Arabidopsis thaliana: one gene and its partners. The protein of the gene in region 2 interacts with the protein of the main gene of each other region in a pairwise test. Each region holds a gene or a part of one and is shown on either strand. Other genes may lie near its edges.

Region 1 (3,758 bases), about 19 Mb from region 2:
AGTCTTCCGAGTCTTTGTACTCTTTTGACAATACGCTTTCTAGCAATTGAGTCTATACAAAGAAAAATAGAGGAAATGGCTTCACATGAATTTTGAGATTCAAAGTTCAAACATCTACTGAAAATGTAAAGAGGAAGGATCAAGTAAGAGGAGATACCTTGTCAAGATTCATAGAGGTTAGCTCCTGTCCAGACATTCCCTTGTGCTTTATAATCCGAGGAATAGACGTGTAGTAAAACCTATTCCCTTTAGGTTGCTCAGTAGATGATGTCGTAAACTTGCTTTTTTTCATCTGCGTATCAAGTGCTATTTCCATTGCCGTTTTAGGTCCACCTTTTAGAATAGCAGATTCATATGTGACTGTTATTTCTCCTCCAACTGGCTCTGCAAAATTGAACATAAAATTTTTGAACAAGCCAAACTTTACAGTGTTCACTACTCGAGTGAGGGAAAACATTAACAATGTGGTTAAAGAATCCTCCAAATTATAAGGTTCACATACCAAACTTTTCAACAACATCCTTTGTAATGTAGTTAGATAAGTGCCTCCACTCCCCATATTGCTTTAAATTGTATGGGCCAAGATTTTTGTCAAACTCTAAAGACCTGACTGCTTGAGAATATCTCTCTTCCTAGCAACAAAAGAGCAGAATAAATATAAATAAGCCAGCACTAATTCTCAAGCCTACTAACTAATGGCTCATGCAACATGATTTGATTATATTCCTATCTAGCAGGCATTGAACAAATATCACAAAGAGGCAAATCGCTGACCAACATATACGCAACATTGAGAAAATTACTGCACTAGGTTATTAAAAGGACATACCTCTTCTTCAGACACTTTGGTTAACCACTCGTCTTGCTGATTCCATTTGCGTACAATAACCTTGTATATTCAACAAAAGATAGTAAATATATATCTACTTACAATATATACAGTTTCATGGTGCTACTAACAGGATATCACAGAGAGACAAGAACATTACTAAATGTTTTCTCTGTAATAGCGATCTATATAGATAACTACAAACACAAACTATTCAAAGTTGTGATTCCAAACCTGAGAAGGGGCAACATCAACAAAGAAGCCAATGGTGGGTGAAAACTCTCTACCATCCCTGAAGATAAGAAAATGAAAGTCTGCATTATCAGCCAAAGCATATCGATAACCATGGTACGGTTTTTAATGAGTACGACATCACAAATTTAAAAAACCATTTAAAGACTTAAACCTTGTCGATGAACTATAGAATACAAAGTGAATTCCAGGAGGTATCATCTTAATCCCTTTGAAAGCTGGTCCAACTGCGAATATCTGTAACCACAATACAAAACATTGTCGTTATAGGCCAATGAATATGCTCAAGAAATATGTTTCACAATCATACAGAAATCAAAATCCATAGCCAATAAAGAATCTTCAAAAGCTCAAAAACCTCAAATTTTAATCATATTCAAACTCAAAATACACTTTCTTCTCGAGATATTTACTAAACCAAAAAGAAACTATACAAGGAGAATCAGTTCCACATTAAAAAGCTTTAAACTTGGAATAAAGTAACAAACTTTGAAACTGAGAAAAGTTGAAATTCGATAAAAGCTTTAAACTTAGAAGTAGACAAACCTGAGTATCGATTCCGACCAGTGTATATTGAGGAACATCGAGAAATAGAAGTGTAGCTCCATGCTTCACAAGCTCTAGTGCCTTCTCAGAATCCATAGCTTCCTTCTTCTTCGTCTTCACTAATTTAGCGTCGAATTCAATAAAGAACAGCAAAATACAGAGCGGAACAACGAGTAGATTCCAGAAGGCCCAATTTAACAGGCCCATTAACAAACTGGGCCTATAAACCGTGGCCCAAAACACGTGACAACGCGCGATTCACGCGGTTTACTTTATCAACCGACATAAACGTTTATTTATAGAGAAACCTATCTTCGCGTCTCTTCAGATTCGTTTTATTTTTCAATCGTTTCAATTTCTAAAATTCTCCTCTCTCAACGCAATCACCAAATCCAAATTTAGGGTTTCTTTTCTCTTTCTGCGATCGATCTCTGAAAACTCATAACTGTTGTTTAATCGTGAAGATGGCATCAAACGGATCTTTCTCTGCTCAGAGAAACGCAAACGCTAGAACAACGATGAAGAGAAGAAGCGACAATCGCGGTTACGGTGGCGGAATCGGAGGTTATCAAGAGGAGACGAACCGTTACGCGCCGCCGCAAAAACGTTTCAGATCACAAGCGCAACAGCAATTCCGATCTGGTCATAATCCTCTGTATCATCATCATGGTAGTAATAATAATAACGTGTCTAGGGTTTCTTCTCAATCATATAACAATTGCGGTGTTGATGTGATTGCTTCTAATTCAAGTTTTGCATTACGTAACAATGATTCTAACACCAACAATTATCAGAAACCCTTTGTTGCTGGTTATGGAAACCCTAATCCCCAAATTGTTCCTCTTCCATTACCTTATCGTAAGCTTGATGACAATCTCTCTTTAGATTCGTTACCTGATTGGGTTCCGAATTCAAGAACCCTAACTCCGAATTATCCTGTTAGGTCATCGAATTTTGTACCAAACACTCCTGTTTTTACGAATGTTCAAAATCCGATGAATCATTCGAACATGGTTTCAGTTGTGTCTCAATCTATGCATCAACCAATTGTTTTGAGCAAAGAATTGACTGATTTGCTTAGTCTTCTTAACAATGAGAAAGAGAAGAAAACTTTAGAAGCAAGTAATAGTGATTCTTTGCCTGTTGGATTAAGCTTTGATAATCCATCGTCACTTAATGTTCGACATGAATCTGTGATTAAGTCTCTGTATTCTGATATGCCGAGACAATGTTCATCGTGTGGGTTGAGATTCAAGTGTCAAGAAGAGCATAGTAAACACATGGATTGGCATGTAAGGAAGAACAGGTCGGTGAAAACCACTACAAGACTGGGTCAGCAACCGAAGAAATCGAGGGGATGGTTAGCAAGTGCATCTTTATGGCTTTGTGCAGCGACGGGAGGAGAGACGGTAGAAGTAGCATCTTTTGGAGGAGAAATGCAGAAGAAGAAAGGAAAGGACGAAGAACCAAAACAACTCATGGTGCCTGCGGATGAAGATCAGAAGAATTGCGCATTATGCGTAGAGCCGTTTGAAGAGTTCTTTAGCCATGAAGATGATGATTGGATGTATAAAGATGCAGTCTACTTAACCAAGAATGGTCGTATAGTTCATGTTAAGTGTATGCCTGAACCCCGACCTGCTAAGGATTTGAGAGAGCCTTCGAGGGTAATGTCTGTTACAGTTCCATCGGTTGCGAAAGCTATAGCCTGCTGATTGAGATTTTTAAGATCTCTGTTTTAGTCATTCGTTTTTTTAAGTAATGTACTTTACTTGAACAAGTTGTAACACAAATACAGTTCTATCAATTGAATCTCCTATTTTACTCTTATCGCCTCTTTACTCTTATGTGTCATTTAATGAATATTCATGCTTCTATATCTCTGTTTTAATCGTCGTTTAGTGTTGAAAAATCATCAAAAAAGTTGTAACTATATTAATCAGAAAAGATTAACGAAATGCTTTAGTTTACACTTAATAACAGAGACAAACGTGAAGCTCGTCTTCTTTTGATTCTCCTTAGGGTTTCTTACTTCGAGAAGAAGACAGAGTAATTCTCACAAACTTGTTTTGCTAATAAACGTTATAAAGCTTTTCAAAATCCTTTTTCAACCCTAATAGTTGATGAGAAA
Region 2 (3,758 bases):
CATGACGTGAATTATGCTCATAATGTCTTTTAGGCAGTTTAAGAGTCAATATATCCAATCTTATCGAACTCAAAAAGATAAGAAAATAATTGTACATTCAGCACTCAGCAGTTCCAAAAAGAAGCAATGGATGATAAATTCTTTACCTTGGAAGTTCCTGTTGGTGGGACAGCAAGCATGTTCCAATCAATTTCTTCAATGTACTTCTTGCGCTCCCTATATACAGCCCTGGCACTGTTAAATTTTGGTTGATACTCATTTACAAGTCCTTTTGCCTGCTCACATGATTAGATTAGATTATCCATCAACAAAGCCAAGAGAATGAAGTTCGTACCTGCTTCTTTTCATGAAAATAAGAAGCCACATAATTTTAATTTCTTAGAAGTTTACCAATTGACGGTTAACAGTATTTTCGAAGTTTTCATAATCTTTCCAAAGTTGTTCAACGTGGTGGGTCGGAGTTAATATAGCTCTATGATACACTTTTCGAAGAGCAGTCTTCCGATGCAAATCTTCGTTGAGGTTAAGAGCCTGCATGGGAATCTATTAGTTTCTCTGCAATAACAAATTATTAGTATCAAGGACAAAGTTAGAGTGATATAACGAACCGGAAGAGATTTTAGAAAGGCAATGTACTCAGTCCATATAGGCCCTGATGCGATGTCTGTCCCTGGAGATTCATAAATCGAAATAAACAACCATCTGTAAGGCCCAAGTTGTGTTATGTGTTGGCATGATAAAGGGAAACTAGAGGTCTACATAGACACGAAGCGTAACTATGTGCTTGCTATTGCTGATGAATAGTTATCATTAGCAACTATATTAAGCATAAAATTGATCAAATCATATTGTTTACTAAACATAACTGTATTCATTACTCACAAAACGGAAAAAATTCCCTCTATGTATGAGACATGATTGAAATGAAAAACAAACAAAATAGAGCCAAAACTGCGGAAGAGAAGCAATACCAATATAGTTAAGCATAAACTCAAAAGCCTTTGTGGTCTCCTCTTGACCCTCTGCTCCCTTCTTGTCGTAGACCTTTCTGATGAACCGAATGTAACATTGCCTGAGAGAATAAGATGTTAGAATTATATCCAAGGAGATGGCAAGACTTGCATTGCAGCTGAGCAAGAAACCCAACAATGAGACGAAAAGATGTTAAATTGACTCTTATCAACGACTAATAAAGGGTAACATGGCATTACCAAAGAGGAACTTGAAGGCAGGTCAACAAACAACGACTAAATATCTGTTTGGTAGCATCATCATTGTTTACAGCCATCTGTGCCTCCACATATTGCTTCCAAAATCTCGCCTACAGAGTACAAAGGAGCTCACAATTAACCAAAAACATCAGGAAACTCTTAAAATACGTGGAAGCAAAGTCATGGGAAACTTACAGAAGTGGGATAAAGTGACAAAAGCTGCTCGTAGATCGGCGTCGCCTGTGCAATTGGTGAATGCTGAGGAAAGGACACAATTTTACGAAACCCAACAAGTAAAAATCTAAACTTTATGAAAGAGTACGAGAAGTCAGACAAGTATATAGCTGGGGAAAGAATTGTACCAAAGCTCTCTTGGCCAAAGCCTCTGCTTCCTCGACGATGTACTTATCAGCCATGAATTTCACCTTCGGAAGAACAGTCTTTCAAATATTCCACTCAATGGTAATATAAGTAGACCCTAATCTGAGATTCAATAAGTGTCACAATCTTCCGACAAGTCTAGCTAAAGCTTCTGCTGCTTCAACGCCATAAAAAAAAATCCCTAGAAGGACCTCAGATCAGGAAAACAGACAGACCTTCAGAAGTTTACCATAGAAGTAAACCCTAATCTGAGATTCAACAATTTTAACACTCCTCCGACGAGTCTGCCCGAAACACGGTGGTCGGTGATACCCTATTGTCGAACGGGGAAACTCAAAGCAACCGGTCCGTCTTCAGGAAACGAATATTTTCCGCGGTTCTACTGTCCACGTGGATTCTACTAAACTTATATTAAAAATATTACGGGCCTAGATTTTTGGCCCATTAAAAGTAAGTTGGACCGATTACGGTACATACAATATCTTTTCGATTTCTAATATTTCTCTCTTTTTTTTTTTCCTTCACTAATTTCCTAAGTACATAAAACGTTAAGCCGTTAAGTTAGGTTCAAGAGAGTTGGTGTATTCGAATTTGAAGTCTGATAGATCTTTGGCGGGATTGAAATCTATTTTGGCCTAGGTTCTTTGGAAACATCATGAATTACTCTCCATTTTTCGTACCACATGTACTAAACTAATAATGCTTGTATATATACACTTTAGTAAGCATTATATAGCTTTTATTCGTGAATTCACTTTTAACACTTATAAAGATACATGTAAAATAAGAAATTAATCATAAGAAGATATATTTCAATGAAATAGACATGTAATATAAGATATTAATTAATTCATCAATTTCCAAAATCAAATCAATTTAAGTTTCTAGCTCTAAAGTCGATACAATGATAACTTTAGAGATATGAGCCTAATACTTTATACTCAACGTTAATAGATAATTATGGAAATGAACATCATATCTAAATTAATTTAAATGACGTAGATGAAGAAATTTCATTTGAATGTTATAGTTATTATACATAGTATAGGTAATTTATTATAGTTTGAATCCTAACTAATATATTTGTTATATAGGGCGAATACATAGTATACTGTATTTGCTAATAAGCCCTGGTTTTGTTGTGTCTTGCCATTGATGTTGCCTAGAGTCGTAGTTCTTGCGTTGCAATGCGTTTTGCTATGGTTGCTTTTTCACTAGGCACTAGAGGAGTTAGTAAGACTATTGGTGTTCAGTGTGGCGTTGAGTTGAAAAATCTAGCTCTCAAAAATCTAGCTCTGTACTATGCGACTTCGGGAAGGAACTTGGTAGGGTGAGCTCACATTGTTCACATTCTTTGGTTTGTGGGGTTTCGTTCTGTGAGAGCTCATGGAATCCTTTGACGGGCCGTTGACGGCACAGTCTCGGACCTCCTGTGAAAGGCTTCTAGTGTCTTGTATCTTGGTAATTCGGCTCTTCAATTTGCATTCGCCCTTCGTCTCAAGCATCAGAGCCGGGAAGAACTTCAAAATCGTCATCACTTCGTCTTACTCCATTAGCATTTGTGCTTATGTTTGAGTGGATGGACTGAAAATGTTTCTAAGATCTATGCTTCCATGTTTTTTGCTTTTTTTGTCATGGGACCATTTCTTTAGGAGTATAATCTTTGGATTGTAAACCTAAATTGTTTTCATTTTTAATGAAATATTTACATTCTTAGCAAAAAAAATATACTGTATGTACGTAAAGTATGCATGGGTTTACATTTTAATTTGGTAATACAATTTTTTTTATTCGTGTGCATGAAAATTTTGTAGCACACTTTAAGACCAGATTTTTGTCCCCTATTAAGTATTGCCTCTTAGTCTAATAGATTGATATTTTGGAATTTTTTGTTTCATAATTGATTAATGTTTTGTTTCAACATCATTATTACTTTCATATGTTATCAATATAGAAAGAGAAAAACATAATTAATATTATTAAATTTACAAAAACTTAGCAAAAAAGTAAGATTACTTATTCATGTGCGAAAAAACTAAAACATCGTTCTGTTAGGATTTAGGAACATAGGTAGTAGTTTTTTTTATCGTATATTAAATATCTTTGTTCTAAATTAGTAATTATGCTTATTTCACCCATCCAGAGAAATGTTGGCAATACTATTGT
Region 3 (3,758 bases), 3.7 Mb from region 2:
TCGATGGAAATCACTTGTATGTATTTATCAGATGTGTTCACTCTACTTGTTGATGGGTTCACTGCCTTCAGCTGATTCGCCGGAAGTACCACCTGATCATCACATCAAAATCATCAGCCACAGACTTTACAAGGAAGAATGACAGAAAATAGACTGCAAGTGCAAGGTTCTCAAGGAACGAAAAAAGGTTCTCAAGAACCACCCAAATCTTAAAATCAGTTTTCCAAAGATCATGTTGTCAAGAAGCTTTCTGCTTGGTTTAATAGGATTTCAGCTCATGTTAGATGTTTACATTAGAACCAGTCCAAACTCTCAAACTAACAATTATTCAATGGCTCCCCTAGTTTTATCAAGAATGCTACAAGATTTAGCTTACTCTCTTAGGCAAACCACTAAAGTCCTAATTGTCTACATAGGAACTAACATGCAACTACTCAACAATATCGTTAGAATGATTATGTAGTTTCCATTTACTATAAGCGTACACACACTACGTTCTATACGTCAATAACTAGAAATGACAAGAAAATTTGTTATAGTCTATGAATCTATGTAAATAGATGCATTGAAAATGACTTAACTCACTTAACGCTTTATCATGTCACCATCAAATATTACATTCGCTGAATCTTTGTTCTCAAATAGTTTTCTTAGATGTAAATAGATATAAAATAAAAGAGTTAGAAAGAAAAAGTAACCATAGGATAGAGAGCGAGTATACCTTGTAATAGCTCCACAGGGTCTGCTCACCCTCTTTGTAAGAGAGAGGATTGTCACTAGAGAACGCAAGCTTGTGAGTCGAAAGATACATAACTCCCAGGACAGGACCAGCAGATGTAGACAAGTAGCAAGCATAGGTCTTGAGAAGTTTTTCATCAGGAAGGCAATCAAATGTTTGCTTGAAGACCTTCTCGTATCCACCCTCTGCAAGTATTTTTGTCCCCTGAGCAATTCGTGAAACAGCAGCATCTGCTACACTTGGGCCTGTTTTCACTGAAAAAGAAAGGATAGATATCAAAACGTATACTCTCAAGTCTCAATTCATATAAAATATCATCCCTCCCTCCAACCATATGTATATAATACTAATTCATCACACAAGCGGAGAAATAAAGCCAAAACAACCTATACTAGAGAAGCTTCAAGAGTCAAAGGCAATAACCAGATACAAAGAACTAATTGGCTTAAACTCAAACGGAAGAGCATGAATATCAAAATTGTTGGCTAGATTTAGTGTCGGTGGTTGAACGCGAAGTAAAATTCCGAAGAAGCGCCAATTGATGAACACTAACTTAACCAGAAGGGGCATAACCAATACCATCGTATTCTCCAAGAGACGGTAATCAGATTAATTGGTAATTCATCTAATCGAGGGGGAAGAAGAAGAAGAAGAAGAAGCGCTTACAGTGCTGCCAAAAATTTCCGGCGAGATCCTCCGCCTTCTTGGTGGCGTCGGCAGCCATTTTCCCCCATTTCCCTAACGTATCCTTCACCGAATCCATCGTATCTGTCCCCAAACCAAGATCAATCAATCAATCAAAGGCAGAAATTGGATTAGGATGCGAAATCGGATAGAGAGAAGAAGAACTCACTCCTTGGGGCAGGGGAAGGAGAAACGTAAGGATTGGATTCCGCTGGCATGGTGGTTGCGGCGGCACCGGTGGGAATAGGCTGAGGAGGAGGAGGAGTGACGTCGGTAGGATCGAGCTTAGGGTAAGGAGCGTAGTCAGAGGAGTGAGCAGCAGCCTTGGAAGGCTCCGACGCGGCGGCGGGCGTAGAAGAGATCCGGCCATGATCATGATTCTCTTGCCCACTCATGATTTGATGTTTTCTTCTTCTTCTTTCGAAATGAACTTTTTATTTTTTTGGTTTGGGTTAAGTAATGAAATAAGAGATGGTTCGAATCTCGCAGGCAACAAATAATAATTGAATTAAAATGTCTGTCCGCGTTACGTTGGCATTATTAATCGTAAATAATTTAAGTAGCCTCTTTCCCAAAGTCGGTCTAACATATATATCTCGTGCGGTCTTAAACAGTAGACGAAACTTAATGCAATTAGTTTCTGTAACGGATACTAGTATTCAATTATACCTTTCCTCTAGAACATATCCATAATCCATGTATGTACACCGGTTTTGTGCCCGTTTATCTTCCTCAAGAAATTCAGACCTTCTTCACTTACGATTTTTGTTTTAACTAAAAAATATCTTATTCTAACTTTTTGATTGCTTGGTTTATGTTTTTTAGTTTGGAGTCCAGACCATAATCCGTCCGTGTGTATTTGGACTGTAAAAACCCACATGCGGTCCACCCAATTGACAGTTCTAATCATAATAACAACAACAAAACAAGTTAGATTGTAACCGCTATTGATATACCACAAAAAATTGCTATTTTTTCCGATGAAGGTTAAGAGTGTCTTTATCATTTCGGACATTCGACGATAAAATTTTGTTGTGTTGAAAACATAGTTACCATATCAAAAAACTAGTTTTCATCCAAAAAGAAAAGTTGATTCACATTCTTCTTGATGGTATTTAAACGAATGACATTTTTTTGAAGTTTCATATAGCTCAAACACTCAACGGTTTAAATGAAGCTTCTTATATAAACCTCAAAATCAGATTGAACCTAAATGATCTTGGGAACTCAAGTCCGTATCCATAAAGCTTACTTTTTATAATCCAAGCAGCATCTAAGTTACATTTATCAAACCTTTTTCCAAATTTTCTAAGACTATATGTGTACAAGGATTTTATTCACAAAATTAACGGTGTTGAAGAAATTCTACAACATCTTTTTCCAAATCACTTTCAACTTTTAATTCAAACAGTTAACTTGTAAATAGTCTAACTCACTATTTTCTTTACCGCTACAAAATAACGACCGCCAATTTTTTACCATTTTGTTTTTACCGTTTCACTAAATTAATTAACTACGGAGAATGAGAGAATACGTGTTTAACCCATTTCGAGTCTTCTGAACCAGAGAGAGACTCTGGACGTAGTGGCGAGAAAGCAAAAGATTTAGCGAACGTCTCTTCTCTCGTCTCTCGTCAGCATATGCGTAAGAGCATCTCCATTGGTGAGATACTCCATGAGTACCTCATAATATATTATTAATATTTTAATTTAAGTAGAGAAACTTATACTAAAATTGTGCTTCCATTGGTGAAATACTCTTATGAGTATCTCATTAACATTAACATATTATTATATGTTTTTTATATTAAATTTAAAATCTCTACAATATTTTCAAACATATCAATTATTATTTTTACAATTATATTATTAAATAGTTTTATTATTTTTAAAACCATAATTAAACATAATTAAACATAATTAAACATTACTTTACATATAAAATCATAATAAAAAATATATCAATTAAACATAAAATTCCATATAAAACCATGATAACATAAATTAAATAGAAAAAATATATAAATTACACAGAAATTACATATAAAACCATGATAACATAAATCAAAACTAACTATATTATCTATTATGGTTTTACTCTTCATTTGATAATGCACCAAACTTTTGTCATATATGCTCAACTAGGTCATCTTTTAGTTGTTGGTGCATATCTCTATCACGAAGTCGAATTCGATTGCCAAAAATGTTGTAAAATAAAAATAGAAAATTTTAAATGTTTGTTTTCTAATTAAAAAAAAACTATTGTATTTATAAGTTATTATTATGTTTAATGCTTAACTAACACCAATTAAATAATATTCGTATATAATTTAAAC

The links.
Region 1: the proteins of CSTF77 (region 2) and AT1G66500 interact in a two-hybrid assay, tested with the Arabidopsis thaliana proteins (one study listed by BioGRID).
Region 3: the proteins of CSTF77 (region 2) and FIP1 interact in a two-hybrid assay, tested with the Arabidopsis thaliana proteins (one study listed by BioGRID).

Annotation. Positions count from the first base shown.
Region 1 is NC_003070.9:24,810,846-24,814,603, reverse strand, and holds AT1G66500 (Pre-mRNA cleavage complex II), read left to right. Parts: upstream 1-1,942; 5' UTR 1,943-2,091; coding exon 2,092-3,342; 3' UTR 3,343-3,524; downstream 3,525-3,758. Other genes in the region: AT1G66510 (AAR2 protein family), read right to left, coding at 1-52, 158-384, 503-632, 830-889, 1,064-1,121, 1,236-1,318, 1,628-1,723.
Region 2 is NC_003070.9:6,114,645-6,118,402, forward strand, and holds the start of CSTF77 (Tetratricopeptide repeat (TPR)-like superfamily protein), read right to left. Parts: upstream 1,974-3,758; 5' UTR 1,628-1,973; coding exon 1,574-1,627; intron 1,470-1,573; coding exon 1,407-1,469; intron 1,322-1,406; coding exon 1,212-1,321; intron 1,073-1,211; coding exon 972-1,072; intron 671-971; coding exon 609-670; intron 532-608; coding exon 391-531; intron 276-390; coding exon 147-275; intron 1-146. UniProt on the Arabidopsis thaliana protein: One of the multiple factors required for polyadenylation and 3'-end cleavage of pre-mRNAs. Required for the targeted 3' processing of antisense transcripts that triggers transcriptional silencing of the corresponding sense gene.
Region 3 is NC_003070.9:9,850,483-9,854,240, forward strand, and holds the start of FIP1 (FH interacting protein 1), read right to left. Parts: upstream 1,968-3,758; 5' UTR 1,819-1,967; coding exon 1,593-1,818; intron 1,508-1,592; coding exon 1,406-1,507; intron 994-1,405; coding exon 722-993; intron 93-721; coding exon 1-92.